Saccharomyces cerevisiae S288C: one gene and its partners. The gene in region 3 interacts genetically with the main gene of each other region. Each region holds a gene or a part of one and is shown on either strand. Other genes may lie near its edges.

Evidence for each region.
Region 1: mutations in GND2 (region 3) and ASP3-2 together harm fitness less than expected from each alone (positive genetic interaction), as found in Saccharomyces cerevisiae (one large-scale study listed by BioGRID).
Region 2: mutations in GND2 (region 3) and ARR3 together harm fitness more than expected from each alone (negative genetic interaction), as found in Saccharomyces cerevisiae (one large-scale study listed by BioGRID).

Annotation. Positions count from the first base shown.
Region 1 is NC_001144.5:470,937-475,871, forward strand, and holds ASP3-2 (asparaginase ASP3-2), read right to left. Parts: upstream 3,122-4,935; coding exon 2,033-3,121; downstream 1-2,032. Other genes in the region: YLR156W (uncharacterized protein), read left to right, coding at 1,177-1,521; YLR156C-A (uncharacterized protein), read right to left, coding at 1,543-1,674; YLR157W-D (uncharacterized protein), read left to right, coding at 4,828-4,935.
Region 2 is NC_001148.4:937,767-943,168, reverse strand, and holds ARR3 (Arr3p), read right to left. Parts: upstream 3,248-5,402; coding exon 2,033-3,247; downstream 1-2,032. Other genes in the region: YPR202W (uncharacterized protein), read right to left, coding at 119-137; ARR2 (Arr2p), read left to right, coding at 3,498-3,890; ARR1 (Arr1p), read left to right, coding at 4,137-5,021.
Region 3 is NC_001139.9:1,003,085-1,009,107, reverse strand, and holds GND2 (phosphogluconate dehydrogenase (decarboxylating) GND2), read right to left. Parts: upstream 4,485-6,023; coding exon 3,006-4,484; downstream 1-3,005. Other genes in the region: ssDNA endodeoxyribonuclease RAD2, read left to right, coding at 1-1,437; MTM1 (Mtm1p), read left to right, coding at 1,803-2,903; putative N,N-dimethylaniline monooxygenase COQ6, read left to right, coding at 5,146-6,023. UniProt on the Saccharomyces cerevisiae protein: Catalyzes the oxidative decarboxylation of 6-phosphogluconate to ribulose 5-phosphate and CO(2), with concomitant reduction of NADP to NADPH.

The DNA.
Region 1 (4,935 bases), on a different chromosome or scaffold from region 3:
TTACAGCATCTTGAGTTGAATCACATCTGCAAAAGGTGGTATTATTGACGTTGCTCTTCCTTAATGGAAACTCATGGGGTTTGGAAAGGAGGTGCGGTAATCTATTTTTTTCGAACACAAAACCTAACCTTGAAAAGAAACTGTCCAATTTCATTGAACTTACCTCAGAACGGGCCGGAGTCTTTGCTTTCAGTCTAACATGGTCTAATTTCTTCGAAAAGCTTCATTTAATTGTTAGACTGTGGTTTTACAAGGAAAAAACCAGTGCTATACTGAAGCGATACCCAGAACTAATTACCTTGTGTGACGATTCGGCTCAGCGAAACGGACATGGTAAAATTGGGAATTTGAAAGCAGGCAGCAGCCTTGTACAGCGACATGACGATAGGTTTAGAATCCCCATCACGTACGAGTTGAAGAATTCTACGAAGGCTCTATGCGTTATTCCTCTATCGGTATAAAGTGTAGCGTTGTAGGGGGGATATTGGTGGTTTAGTTGAATTTGCGCAACGAAATTATAGAACTCATAAAAGTTCAATTCAATACTTGAAACCCTTAACGTTGGTTCGACCATCAATTGTTTGGACATAATAGTTTTATTCTGCGGCCGATTTCAAAATTTAGTAAATCAAATGTTGAAGCATCACCAGTAGGATGACCACTCCCATGACAAAACTCCGTCCCAAAGATAGCTTGATCATCCTAAGCGGGTCGCATTTTACTATCCCCAGTTCCGAAGAATAACAAGGCTCAATGCATATGCTGTTTATCGTGCTCACAAGGCGGTATGACGTTTTTAGCAATGTAATTATATTAAAAAGATCTTCAGTCACTATGAGTGGTTGATTGCCCCATAGAGAGCTATAAGCCGACGTGAAAGCTGCTGGTTCCAGCTTGGCTCATGTCGTCACCAGTCACTAGTCACTTGGTCGCATTCATTGCTACTCATCTGCGAGTGAGCATATTTGAGATCTGACTTGCCAAGGGATTAGAATCACGTAAGACTCTTGATCCTTAGAAGATATTTCTGACAAAGAACCACCTAAGCCATGCAAGTTTTTTTTTTCATTTGGTGGCGAAACAAAGGTGATGAAAGTTTCTTCTTGTACAAACGCCAATCCCGATAGGTGAGACAATTCTTGAAGTAATGGACCTCTGAGTAAGCATATCAGTCGAATGAAGTTCCAATATGCGTTGGCCAAGGAACAGCTAGGCAGCAACTCGCGCAGTGGCGTCAAAAAACTAATAAGTAAACACCACTGGCTTCCGGAATACTATTTCTCTGATCTCTCATTTTCTGTTGTACAGCAGTGGGACAGTAGAGCCATTGAAAAAACTACAATCATATCTTGTATGCGGCCCGCAAACCAAGAGATTTATCCTTTGAGACATTGTGAGACCCTCCGTTCGCAACCGTGCTCTCTGTTTTCATCACTATATGCACGCTCTTTCCAAAGCTCCTGCACTTTGCACGTGGCGGAGCCATCGCCCGGCTTCCATATGTACGGCTGCCACACCTAACTATTTCGGTTGCGGCCATATCTACCAGAAAGCACCGTTTCCCGTCCGATCAACTGTAGTTAAGCTGGTAAGAGCCTGACCGAGTAGTGTAGTGGGTGACCATACGCGAAACTCAGGTGCTGCAGTTGTTTTTTTTTTCGCGCACGAATACATCACGCAGCCTCGCCTTGACACTGCTCAAGGGATAAGGGGAAGGAGCTGAGATAGAACTGAGTTGGAGCGTTGCAGCGGCACGAGCAGTGAAAAGAGCGAAGAGAAGAGAAGCAGATAAAAGACCAAAGTAGCGATGATACTTCGATGTTTGGAGCGATTTTTCCTATGTGAATATTAGAAATCATATGTTTTGTATCAGCTGAACAGTGAATGATGTGCTCAATACTCAAATTCATCTTTTTGTTTGCTAAAAATAGCTTAACTGGCACATCATGAAAAGGATGTAGAAATTATAGAGTATATTTACTACTAAGAACTATATAAAAACACAGTGTGATGAAAAGTCACTGATCAGGCTTTAACCACCGTAGACGCCAGAAAAAACAGACCTAATCTGATCCATGCCGTAGCCGGAGTACAAACATAATTGTAGCAAAATACGCGATTTTTGAGGGTTTAGGTAGCCAGATCCAATGGCGTACTCTGGGGCATCATCTGGAGGAACTGTACCATCTGCTGTTCTTCTGCTGTGAACAATTGGTATACCATACTCTTCATAAAGTTGTTCGTTTACAATACTACCCGTAGCAGTCCAGGAACCAGCTCCAGAACCCGCCAACACGATACCTTTTGCGCCCAGGTCCTTGACGGCCTTTACTATTAGCTCAGGATTCAAGCCTTGATAGGAGTACAGAATAATGACTTCTGGAATTTCCGAAGGGTCTGTGAGGTTGGAAATGTCAAAAAATTGCCATCCATTTGGCTTGACTGGTGGGTAGTAAAACTCCACGTCATCATTTGAAAAGTAACCTAAATATCCCTGTTCATCCGCTCTGAATGTATCTAAAGAGTTGGCATTCATTTTCGTTGTCCAAAACCCAGAGGCAATACGATCGTTTAGAGTGATCATCGTGCCACGACCCAGTGATTTCTCAGAAGCAGCAATAGACACTGCTTGATATAAATTCATTGGGCCATCAGCAGACGTGGCAGTGGCTGGACGCATAGCGCCTGCGATACATACTGGCTTCTCTGAATTTATGGTCAAATCTAAGAAGAAAGCTGTCTCCTCCATAGTGTCGGTCCCATGAGTGACAACCGCACCAGCGTAGTCATCAGAGGCTAGTGCCTCGGAGATACCGTGATACAATGGGATCAGATGCGTATAGTTTAAAGAATTTGAACCAACGTTAGACACTTGAAGATAGTCCAGATTTGCCTTCTCAGCTAAAGATGGGACGGCTTCTATTAAATCATTTACGGTTAATCCCACGCTATAACCCGCCGTTGTTGCACTTGTCGAACCCTTGGAAGCGATAGTACCGCCGGTACCAAAAATTTTGATTGATGGCAAAGAAGAATTCTTCTCTTCACGAATTTTTAGTAGTGGAGCACCACTGGACATTGCGACAAAGAGAGAAAGTAAAAGGGTATTTAAAGATCTCATAGTTGGAGGTTGGTGAGTACCAGATTGCTTACAAAAGAATAGCGAGCCAACATTTGCTCTGCCTCAGGCCTCTTGGTGCTGCTTGAAGACTCATCTTATATGGCTTTTGTATGTCATGATTTGTTCTTGTACATTATGTGTTGATATTAAACAAATTGATTTTTTTTTTTTTGCGATAGCAAGCAGATAATGAAAGAGACAAGGACTTGGAACATCCGATAAGACTGCGCCGATATCGATCTTACAGTCCTTCCCTTGTGTCATGACTTTCGGAAAAGCATCCTCGTCGACTGGTAGTTTGCTGTCTGTCACGTGCTGAAGGGTCTGATACATTTTTTTAAAGATAAGAGACGGGGTTTACCTTCGGAGGACTAAGCGAGATCTCCAAGTAAAGATCTCGCTTATCAAGAAAGCAGCCAAGTGTGGAACGTCCTTTTTTTTGGTTTCAAAAAGATATTCAACAGTTTACACTGCAGCTTTAATTGCCTCAAAAGGATATCATGAGGTGATCTAGGGTCAGAAGGGAAAGATTACAGCATCTTGAGTTGAATCACATCTGCAAAAGGTGGTATTATTGACGTTGCTCTTCCTTAATGGAAACTCATGGGGTTTGGAAAGGAGGTGCGGTAATCTATTTTTTTCGAACACAAAACCTAACCTTGAAAAGAAACTGTCCAATTTCATTGAACTTACCTCAGAACGGGCCGGAGTCTTTGCTTTCAGTCTAACATGGTCTAATTTCTTCGAAAAGCTTCATTTAATTGTTAGACTGTGGTTTTACAAGGAAAAAACCAGTGCTATACTGAAGCGATACCCAGAACTAATTACCTTGTGTGACGATTCGGCTCAGCGAAACGGACATGGTAAAATTGGGAATTTGAAAGCAGGCAGCAGCCTTGTACAGCGACATGACGATAGGTTTAGAATCCCCATCACGTACGAGTTGAAGAATTCTACGAAGGCTCTATGCGTTATTCCTCTATCGGTATAAAGTGTAGCGTTGTAGGGGGGATATTGGTGGTTTAGTTGAATTTGCGCAACGAAATTATAGAACTCATAAAAGTTCAATTCAATACTTGAAACCCTTAACGTTGGTTCGACCATCAATTGTTTGGACATAATAGTTTTATTCTGCGGCCGATTTCAAAATTTAGTAAATCAAATGTTGAAGCATCACCAGTAGGATGACCACTCCCATGACAAAACTCCGTCCCAAAGATAGCTTGATCATCCTAAGCGGGTCGCATTTTACTATCCCCAGTTCCGAAGAATAACAAGGCTCAATGCATATGCTGTTTATCGTGCTCACAAGGCGGTATGACGTTTTTAGCAATGTAATTATATTAAAAAGATCTTCAGTCACTATGAGTGGTTGATTGCCCCATAGAGAGCTATAAGCCGACGTGAAAGCTGCTGGTTCCAGCTTGGCTCATGTCGTCACCAGTCACTAGTCACTTGGTCGCATTCATTGCTACTCATCTGCGAGTGAGCATATTTGAGATCTGACTTGCCAAGGGATTAGAATCACGTAAGACTCTTGATCCTTAGAAGATATTTCTGACAAAGAACCACCTAAGCCATGCAAGTTTTTTTTTTCATTTGGTGGCGAAACAAAGGTGATGAAAGTTTCTTCTTGTACAAACGCCAAGCCCGATAGGTGAGACAATTCTTGAAGTAATGGACCTCTGAGTAAGCATATCAGTCGAATGAAGTTCCAATATGCGTTGGCCAAGGAACAGCTAGGCAGCAACTCGCGCAGTGGCGTCAAAAAACTAATAAGTAAACACCACTGGCTTCCGGAATACTATTTCTCT
Region 2 (5,402 bases), on a different chromosome or scaffold from region 3:
AGCAATCTCACTAAGATAAGCGACTGTCTGTCCCCTTCAAGCACAACATAGAAAACAGAAGGATGTCTCATTCATCGCTTGATTTCCGGCCTGCAAAAATAAAGTAGTCGGTACGTACGTTCGTTTTCAATTTCCATGGTGCACAGTATCTTAACTATCTGCTTAGTCGAGGAGAACCAGGATTCTGTTCGTTGCTCAGCCGCTTCGTGGATATTCTCTTGGATACTTTAAACATGGACCTACGCTTAGCCTGCGCTTAGCCTACAACTTCTTCCGCTCTCGAAAAGACCAATATAATAAAAAGTTATAAATTACATTTCCTTATTAGGTATACGACCTCACGCTTCGAAGTAAAGGAGCCTACCACTCTATACCACCACTACCACCACCGCCACTTGCCACACTCACCTTCACTTCTACTGATATGTCATACGCACACGGATGCTACAGTATATACCATCTCAAACTTACCCTACTTTCATATTCCACACCATGGCCCCATTCTCACTAAATCAGTACTAGATGCACTCACATCATTATGCACGGCACTTGCCTCAGCGGTCTATACCCTGTGCCATTCACCCATAAAGCCCATGATTATCCACATTTTAATATCTACATCTCATTTTGCGGTTCCAAATATTGTATAACTGCACCATATACTAACCACTCAATTTATACACACTTATGTCAATATAACCACAAAATCACCACCAAAATCACCTAAACATAAAAATTAACCATTCATTAATGAGAAGATATAAACATACTAAATATTAACATAATTGAAATATCGTAAACATAACACCCTATTCATTAAATTGTCTATTACTTGTGCCATTTACCCATAACATTCATGATCATCCACATTTTAATTTTCTAAAATTGATCACAGAACCTCCATTATCATATCAATACTCTCAACTTCATGCTTTATAACGTTTTCATACAAATTAACCACTATAAGGTATCATAGCTATTTGCATTCTCATCACCTTTCAGTGAATTCCAATTTAATAGCAGAATATACTCGCGCAGCTGCTATGGTGCGTTTTTAATCTCTCCCCACCTTGGTATTCTATAATTATGCATACATGGTCTTGTGGTATCTTTGATATCGAATAGTTTATGCTTGCAATTTCAGCCTAATAATGGCGACATAAGACGTGTCCTCATGTCGCTATTCAAACGCAACTACAAGATCTTCTTACTCCCTATACTCATTCCCGGTGCCACTATATAACACCACTATGCTATACTATAATAGCAATACACATTAACGCAGATGCTATAATATCTTTACTTCATCTCACCAACTCAACTGATAATCATACAGACAGTACTATACAATACAGTCATTTACTAAAACGAATGCCGCTCCATGATATCCCAAACTTATACTGGCACCATTTTGAAACATTATATGTCACCTCTTCATCCTAATGACTTCAACTTCATGCATTATAAAATGGCAGCTACACGTACTTATGCGGGTACTACGACATAAGCTTATCTTGTCCTATTTCGTTACGTTAATTTTAATTAGACACTAGATGCACGAATTCCATTTTTATGCGAATGATCTATGAAGCCATTGTTGTACCATCACCATGTGCTATTCCATCGGGCTTACAATACTTGGGTTTAAAGCATTACTAATCTTGCAGGAAAATCTCAAAAATGACATACAATACGCAATAATAATTTTTCAGCGAGTTTCTAATTCAAAGACATTGTATTTAGAAGTGATGTACGTAACACAGTTTGCCACTTGAGTTCATTAGACTTTCAAAAATGCAATAGTAAGATTACGTCCCCTTCTTACTGAACTCCAAAACTGTGCGGAGTTTTTGAATGATGCGGGATGGCGTGAACAAACCCATTTTTTCATCCTAACCATCACTAAGATCAATCAGTTGTCCTTCAAAAAAAATTGTCAATTTTATCTGTTTTTAGGGTGAACTTGGATTAATATAGAGTTATAAGTGGTATTATTCATTGGTGCCCAAGTAATTTTTTGGTGAGTCAACAATTAATTTCTATTGTTCCATATATAATATGGTTTAAGGATCCTCGCGACTATTGCCAAAATCAATAAAATTGGAACTTCTAGCAACGGCCCAAATGTTGCAGCTATTGCTTGCTTGCTATTGTTACCATATAAGGAAATAGCAATTGCCAGGGATAGTTCAAAATTATTTGAAGCCATAGTGAAACATTGCGTCATCGTAATAGAAAAGCTAGCTTCACAAGACTTTCTTCCCCAGACCCTCTTTAAAAGTAGTTCTTGGTCACAGCTACATTCTCTTTGTGTATCACTCCTAGATATTGATAAGTACCTCATTAATGCGAAGGTCAAAAACCATGCAATAAAGAAGTAAAGCACCAATGGGACAAAGCACAATATTGCAGAACCAATTTCGTGGATAAATTGATAACCTCTACTAATAAAAATAACAAATAAAGTGTAATGAAATCCGATCATTGCCCATGGAGAAATAAATCTCAAAATGTATTTTTCATAATTACTTTTACCAGCTATGGTAAGACTTCCCAAACGTATGATAATGCCAATTCCCAGTGGTATGCCGAGAAAAACTCCGACAGACTTTGCAACCTCTTCGAATAATACCCTATTTGAAGTATTCAGGTGGTCATGAGAAATAACATAACAGTAAAATATCTGCAATGGTGCATATAATACCATCTGTAAAAGCGAGTTTGTAATAACAAGCACGACGCAGAGATCATTGTCTCCTCCAGCAATCTGATTCCAAATTAGCACCATGGCAATGCATCTAGCTACTCCGATCATAATAATGCCTTGACGGTATTCCTTATAATCGAATAGCGCCATCCACGCCAATGCTGTCATCAACAAAGGACCGATGACCCAATTCAAAAATAACGAGAGGGCTAGTTGCTTCCTTATATAGCTCCTGTAGAAGTACTTGTGAATAGACTCCCAGGAAACTTTGCAGATCGGGGGAATCATCATTACAATCATACCAACAGTCAAAGGAATGGACACTCCCATTAGATTGGGATGACCTTCAGCGTCAAAAGTGTGACGGGAAGAAGGCACATAGACAGAAATTATTACTGCAATGATTATGGAGAGAATTATAGTAAATGGCAACATCAAGTCAAGCCATGACAATGACTTGATCGTAGTCAGTATATCGGTGCGATTCACCATATTAACCTTAGAAGGTACCGAATTTTCACTTTTTTGATCTTCTGACATTATTCTACTAACCTGATGATTTGTTGGTTGGGTTCTCTTGAATTACAACGAGAGCATTCATTTATATTCTTTTCCGTTTACATTATAATTATGTAAGGAGCGTTGCCGCTAAAGTTGATTATTAATCAAACAAAAAGATAATTAAGAGCATTCAAAATTTGATTTTAAATCAACACTTTTGAAAAGTCGGTATAAAAACTAATGTATAACAAACTAATATTGAGGAAAACTTGACAATCCAGCAAGCGTAATGGTAAGTTTCATAACGTCTAGGCAACTCAAGGGCCTAATTGAAAATCAGAGGAAGGATTTTCAAGTTGTTGATCTTCGAAGAGAAGATTTTGCACGTGATCATATTACAAACGCTTGGCATGTTCCAGTAACAGCACAGATTACAGAGAAGCAACTGAATCAATTAATTAAAGGTTTATCCGATACTTTCTCAAGTTCTCAATTCGTCAAAGTGATATTTCATTGTACTGGGTCCAAGAATAGGGGACCAAAAGTAGCTGCTAAATTCGAAACCTACTTACAAGAAGAAGATATTACAAGTAAGTTTGAGAGTTGCATCCTCGTTGGAGGTTTTTACGCTTGGGAGACCCATTGTAGAGAGAGTAACCTTAAATTGATTGTTAGTGGTTGAGCTCCTCAAGCTTTATTGTTCCAGCATTAATGTAAAAGTCTTTTCAATATTTTATGTACGGCAAAACTTTTTAATTCCATTTTTTTTTTTTTTTTCGTTTCTTTTCTTATTAAATTAAATATAATTATAATTATAATATTCCTATCTTTACAAAATCATATTAGTATATAATTCTAGCATGCGGATGGTCTTTAAGGAGCGGCCGTTGAAAAAACATGTCAAAACGGAAGATAAGTGACCAAGATAATGGCAAAACCGCGTGGAAGAAAAGGCGGCAGGAAGCCTTCACTTACTCCACCTAAAAATAAGAGAGCTGCGCAACTTAGAGCATCCCAAAACGCATTTAGAAAACGAAAGTTGGAAAGATTAGAAGAACTAGAGAAGAAAGAAGCTCAGCTAACGGTAACAAATGATCAAATTCACATATTAAAGAAGGAAAATGAACTTCTCCATTTTATGTTGAGGAGTCTTTTGACTGAGAGGAACATGCCTTCTGATGAACGGAACATTAGTAAGGCCTGTTGTGAAGAAAAACCGCCCACATGTAACACTCTCGATGGTAGTGTGGTTCTTTCCTCCACATATAATTCCCTTGAAATACAACAATGCTACGTATTTTTCAAGCAACTGCTCTCAGTGTGTGTTGGAAAGAATTGTACAGTGCCGTCACCGTTGAATTCCTTTGATCGGTCCTTCTATCCCATAGGCTGTACGAATCTCTCAAATGACATACCAGGCTATTCTTTTCTAAATGATGCAATGAGTGAGATTCATACGTTTGGTGACTTTAATGGGGAACTTGATAGTACCTTTTTGGAGTTTAGTGGGACTGAAATAAAGGAGCCAAATAATTTCATTACTGAAAACACTAATGCAATAGAAACAGCGGCAGCGAGCATGGTGATTAGGCAGGGTTTCCATCCAAGACAGTATTATACAGTGGATGCTTTTGGAGGGGACGTCCTATTAAGTGCGATGGATATTTGGAGTTTTATGAAAGTGCATCCAAAGGTTAACACATTTGACCTTGAAATTTTGGGAACAGAACTTAAGAAAAGTGCTACGTGTTCTAATTTTGATATTTTAATTAGCCTCAAGCATTTCATTAAGGTCTTTTCGTCAAAATTATAATATTCTTCCTGTAAGCACAGCGCAACATTGTCTTTCTTATTGTTAATATATAAGTTAAAAGCCGAATTTTTCATTTATTTATATAGATGGCGTGAAGATTATTACGGTCAGATACCTTCGCCTATTTATGTACTTGCATGCGTTTAGATTTTATTGGAAAAAGTATTAATTTATCGTCTATCGACTAGTATTCACGTTACTAGTATATTCTGTATAGTTAATGATAGAGCCTTTATTTAAAATGGAAGTCCAATAACTATTTCAAAATCAAATTATATGTCAAAGATGTTCAACAAATTGGGAAGGCAAGAGGCGAGCACTAGGCCTGATACCCTTCTTAATGCCTTGACATACACGTGTCTATTTCTTTTTTCTTGTCGA
Region 3 (6,023 bases):
CCACAGTTTGATTTTAACAATGAAAATTCCCTGCTTTTTCAAAAGAATACCGAGAGTAATGTGTCCCAAGAAGCCACGAAGGAAAAGTCTCCAATTCCTGAAATGCCGAGCTGGTTTTCTTCAACTGCTTCCCAGCAGTTGTATAATCCCTATAACACAACAAATTTCGTGGAAGATAAAAACGTAAGAAATGAACAAGAAAGTGGAGCAGAAACTACCAATAAAGGGAGTAGCTATGAACTCTTGACAGGCTTAAATGCTACGGAAATATTAGAAAGAGAAAGCGAGAAAGAGAGCTCCAATGATGAAAACAAGGACGATGACTTAGAAGTTTTATCAGAAGAACTATTTGAGGACGTTCCCACTAAATCTCAGATTTCAAAAGAAGCAGAGGATAACGATAGTAGAAAAGTCGAATCTATAAATAAGGAGCATAGAAAGCCTCTTATATTCGACTATGACTTCTCCGAAGATGAAGAAGATAACATAGTAGAAAATATGATAAAGGAACAAGAAGAGTTTGATACATTTAAAAACACGACTTTGTCCACTTCTGCTGAAAGAAACGTTGCCGAGAACGCTTTTGTGGAGGATGAATTATTCGAACAACAGATGAAGGATAAAAGAGATTCGGATGAGGTAACTATGGATATGATCAAAGAAGTGCAAGAATTACTATCGAGGTTTGGAATCCCCTATATCACTGCGCCTATGGAAGCTGAAGCACAGTGTGCGGAATTGTTACAACTAAACCTTGTCGATGGTATAATTACCGATGACAGTGATGTTTTCCTATTTGGAGGTACAAAGATCTACAAAAATATGTTCCACGAAAAGAACTATGTTGAATTTTATGATGCGGAATCTATTTTAAAATTATTGGGCTTGGATAGAAAGAATATGATTGAGTTGGCACAGCTTTTAGGGAGCGATTACACGAATGGATTGAAGGGTATGGGTCCCGTTTCAAGCATTGAAGTGATTGCAGAATTTGGAAACCTAAAAAATTTTAAAGACTGGTATAATAATGGGCAGTTTGATAAACGTAAGCAAGAAACGGAAAATAAATTTGAAAAAGACCTGAGAAAAAAACTGGTAAATAACGAAATTATCTTAGATGATGATTTTCCTAGCGTCATGGTTTATGATGCGTATATGAGACCAGAAGTCGATCACGATACCACGCCGTTTGTTTGGGGGGTACCAGATCTCGATATGCTTCGTTCATTCATGAAGACTCAACTAGGTTGGCCACACGAAAAGTCTGATGAAATTCTCATTCCCTTAATTAGAGATGTTAATAAACGCAAAAAGAAGGGGAAGCAAAAAAGGATTAATGAATTTTTTCCAAGGGAGTACATATCTGGTGATAAGAAGCTCAATACAAGTAAGAGAATTTCAACCGCAACAGGTAAACTAAAGAAAAGAAAGATGTAATAACATATACTTATGTATGATTTACTATTTATAAACATTACCTTTGTTTCTGCATGTTAACAAAGTCAACCGATCCAGGAATAGTAGATATATACGGTCCTTTTGGTATCTTTGCGTCGGTGAGGTATGACACTTTTGGCACCCACCCAAACACGCGCAACGTTATTTTTCGCCATCTTGAAGATCTCAGAATAGCAATTAGAGAATAAGACACATTCTGTCATTTTTGCATATTTCCGGGAAGATCACTCCTCTGGAATTGGGGCACACTACCCTCATATTTGTGCCAGTTCACTTCACAGGAATCGTATGAGCCAAAGCCATAAAGTATCGTAGGAAAGGAAACGAGGTGTTGATAATACGATATGAGTGATCGCAATACAAGTAACAGCCTGACCTTAAAAGAACGAATGTTAAGTGCCGGTGCTGGATCAGTACTCACTTCTTTGATTTTGACACCGATGGATGTAGTGAGAATACGGCTGCAACAGCAGCAGATGATTCCTGACTGTTCATGTGATGGGGCTGCCGAAGTGCCCAACGCCGTTAGCTCAGGCTCCAAAATGAAGACATTCACCAACGTCGGAGGACAGAACTTGAACAACGCAAAAATATTTTGGGAGAGTGCTTGTTTTCAAGAACTGCACTGTAAAAATTCATCGTTGAAGTTCAACGGTACTTTAGAAGCATTCACGAAAATTGCCAGCGTCGAAGGTATTACAAGTTTGTGGAGGGGTATTTCTTTGACCCTATTAATGGCTATTCCTGCCAACATGGTTTATTTTAGTGGTTATGAATATATAAGAGACGTTTCTCCTATAGCCTCGACGTACCCAACATTAAACCCCCTCTTTTGTGGTGCAATTGCGAGGGTATTTGCAGCAACAAGTATTGCACCTTTAGAATTGGTTAAAACTAAACTGCAAAGTATACCGAGATCATCAAAGTCCACAAAGACATGGATGATGGTTAAAGATTTATTAAACGAAACGAGGCAGGAAATGAAAATGGTGGGTCCTTCTCGGGCCCTCTTCAAAGGTTTGGAGATCACTCTGTGGAGAGACGTTCCGTTTAGTGCAATATATTGGAGTTCCTATGAACTTTGCAAGGAAAGACTATGGCTAGATTCTACTCGATTTGCATCTAAGGACGCAAACTGGGTCCATTTTATAAACAGTTTTGCCAGTGGTTGCATAAGTGGGATGATAGCTGCTATATGCACACACCCTTTTGATGTCGGTAAGACGAGATGGCAAATATCCATGATGAACAATAGCGATCCGAAAGGCGGCAATAGGTCTAGAAACATGTTCAAGTTCTTAGAGACTATATGGCGTACAGAAGGTCTTGCGGCCCTCTACACGGGCCTGGCAGCCAGAGTAATTAAGATACGCCCAAGTTGCGCCATCATGATATCTAGTTATGAGATCTCCAAAAAAGTATTTGGAAACAAATTGCATCAGTGAATAAAGGCTTGTAAATATAGATATATAGTAAACGAAAAGAAGCATATACGTATAATTATTTGTGGGAACGGCTCTAGAAAAGAAAACTTTGCCTTTAACTCCTTAAGCTTGGTAGGTTGAGGAAGATATATTACCTCCGTGCCCAGTCCAATTGATATGAATATCCTTGTCTACTGGCAAATGGGCAGAAGCACATTCAGGTAAAATTCTAAATGTATGAGCGCCAAAATAATCACGTTGCGCTTGTAACAAGTTTGCTGGTAGCCTCTCAGATCTATAGCCGTCGTAAAACGCTAAAGCAGTAGAGAAAGCTGGAGTTGGAATACCGTAAGTAGCAGCAAGGGCAATAGTTCTTCTCCAACCGGATTGGGCCTTAGTAACTGCAGAAGCGAAGAACTCGTTGAATAATAAATTTTCCAAATCTGGATCGTCCCTATAAGCCTTCGTAATCTCAGCTAAGAACACAGATCTGATTATACAGCCACCTCTCCACATTAGAGCAATAGCTGGGTTGTTTAATTTCCAGCCGTATGATCTGGCAGCTTCGCGGATCAGCATGAAACCTTGAGCATATGAAATAATCTTTGAAGCGTATAATGCTTGTTCCAAATCATACACAAATTGTTCTCTATCATGTATTGCATCCTTTGGTACTGTTGGTCCTGCCAGAAGTTTCGAAGCTCTTTTACGTTCGTCCTTTATGGCTGACAAACAACGAGCGAAAACAGCCTCCCCAATTAAAGTGACTGGCATTCCTAAATCCAAGGCGTTGATTGCAGTCCATTTACCAGTACCCTTTTGACCGGCAGTATCCATAATTTTTTCCACCAATGGCTTACCGTCGACGTCATCGAATTTTAAAATGTCCCTCGTGATTTCAATCAAGAAAGAATCCAAAACTCCAGTGTTCCACTTGTCAAATACTTCACTGATCTCTTTATCCGTAAACCGGCCAATTCGTTTCATGATATCGTAAGCCTCGCAAATCAACTGCATATCACCGTACTCGATACCGTTGTGTACCATCTTCACATAGTGACCAGAACCGGCAGGCCCCACCCATTCGCAGCATGGCTCACCGTTTGATTTGGCGGCAATAGATTGAAAGATGTTCTTGATGTGCGGCCATGCTTCTGCTGACCCACCAGGCATTAAAGATGGACCAAAACGTGCACCATCTTCACCGCCTGAGACACCAGAGCCCACAAAAAGAATTCCTTGCTTTGTTAGCTCTTCGTAGCGTCTGTTAGTGTCCGGGAAATGTGAGTTACCACCGTCGATAATAATGTCGCCTTTATCAAGATGTGGTACAAGTTCCTTTATTAAAGTGTCGACCGGAGCACCGGCTTTGATTAAAAGCATAATCTTTCTAGGTTTCTTTAGTTTCGCAACCAAGTCCTCAATTGAAGTTGCACCAATTATTGATTTTCCTTTTGCCTCATTAGCTAGAAACCTATCTACCTTTGATTGCGTCCTATTATAAGCAACCACGGTAAATCCGTGATCCGCTGCGTTTAAGATCAAATTTTGACCCATCACGGCTAAACCAACTAAGCCTAAATCACCTACTGCCTTTGACATTCTGTTCCTCGTGTTTTTTTAATTGTAGTTGCGTAACTACACTTATCCGGCAATATGCTCACCTGCACCTACGAATTCTTCAAACGTTGTCTCCATATATATATATATATATATATTTGAGCTAACTCCTAGCAGTGATCTAAAATTTAAAATGAAAATAGGGGTGAAGATAACCTCCGTGGGCACTCGTGGTTAAAGAGCCATTTTTCGGGGTTATTAGTTAATAAACTCCTAGAGGAAACGTTCAATTTCTGACGTCTCTACTTTTTCATCGAGAGCGGTGCCAAAAAAATTAGGGGCGCCTCAATTATTAATACTGACAAATAAAAAGGAAACTGCCACCTGTCAGAATTGAACTAACGACCTTTGCATTACAAGTGCAACGCTCTACCACTAAGCTAAGGAGGCAAACCCTTGAAGTTTCAAGAAAAAGTGATGTTGTTTTATCGAACAAGATTTATGCTGCTATTGTTTCTCCTTTCTTTTTTTCCCTTCTTCTTGCAGAAGGAACACGCAGATCTTAAACTGTTTCTGAGAAATATCCCTTCTGGAATTGTGATACGACATTAAAAAGGAATAAATATAATTGTGGCGATAATTTTCTTCATTCAGTAACTCAAATTGGTCTTTCAGTGAACCTTGTATCGATTGACACAGAGGCATGTTCTTTTCAAAAGTTATGCTTACTCGGCGTATTTTGGTGAGGGGTTTGGCAACAGCCAAATCTTCAGCTCCAAAGTTAACAGATGTATTAATCGTAGGTGGGGGTCCTGCAGGTTTGACTTTAGCTGCATCGATTAAGAATTCTCCGCAATTAAAAGATCTAAAGACAACTTTAGTCGATATGGTGGACTTAAAAGATAAATTATCGGACTTTTATAATTCACCCCCAGATTATTTTACGAACAGGATTGTCAGTGTTACGCCTAGATCTATTCATTTTCTTGAGAATAACGCTGGGGCAACTTTGATGCATGACAGGATTCAAAGTTATGACGGACTCTATGTCACGGACGGTTGTTCTAAGGCTACTTTGGATCTGGCAAGGGACTCCATGCTTTGTATGATTGAAATTATAAATATACAGGCCTCCTTATACAACAGAATTTCTCAGTACGATTCAAAGAAGGACTCCATTGATATTATTGATAATACAAAAGTTGTCAATATTAAACACAGCGACCCTAATGATCCATTGTCCTGGCCTTTAGTCACTCTTTCCAATGGTGAAGTATACAAGACGAGATTGCTAGTGGGTGCAGACGGGTTCAATTCTCCTACCAGAAGATTTTCCCAGATCCCATCTAGGGGCTGGATGTATAATGCCTATGGTGTTGTGGCCAGCATGAAGTTAGAGTATCCTCCCTTTAAACTAAGGGGCTGGCAGAGGTTCTTACCCACTGGTCCAATTGCACACTTACCCATGCCTGAAAATAATGCTACTTTAGTCTGGAGTTCATCTGAACGTTTATCGAGGCTTTTGTTGTCATTACCTCCAGAATCATTCACTGCACTTATCAATGCTGCTTTTGTCTTGGA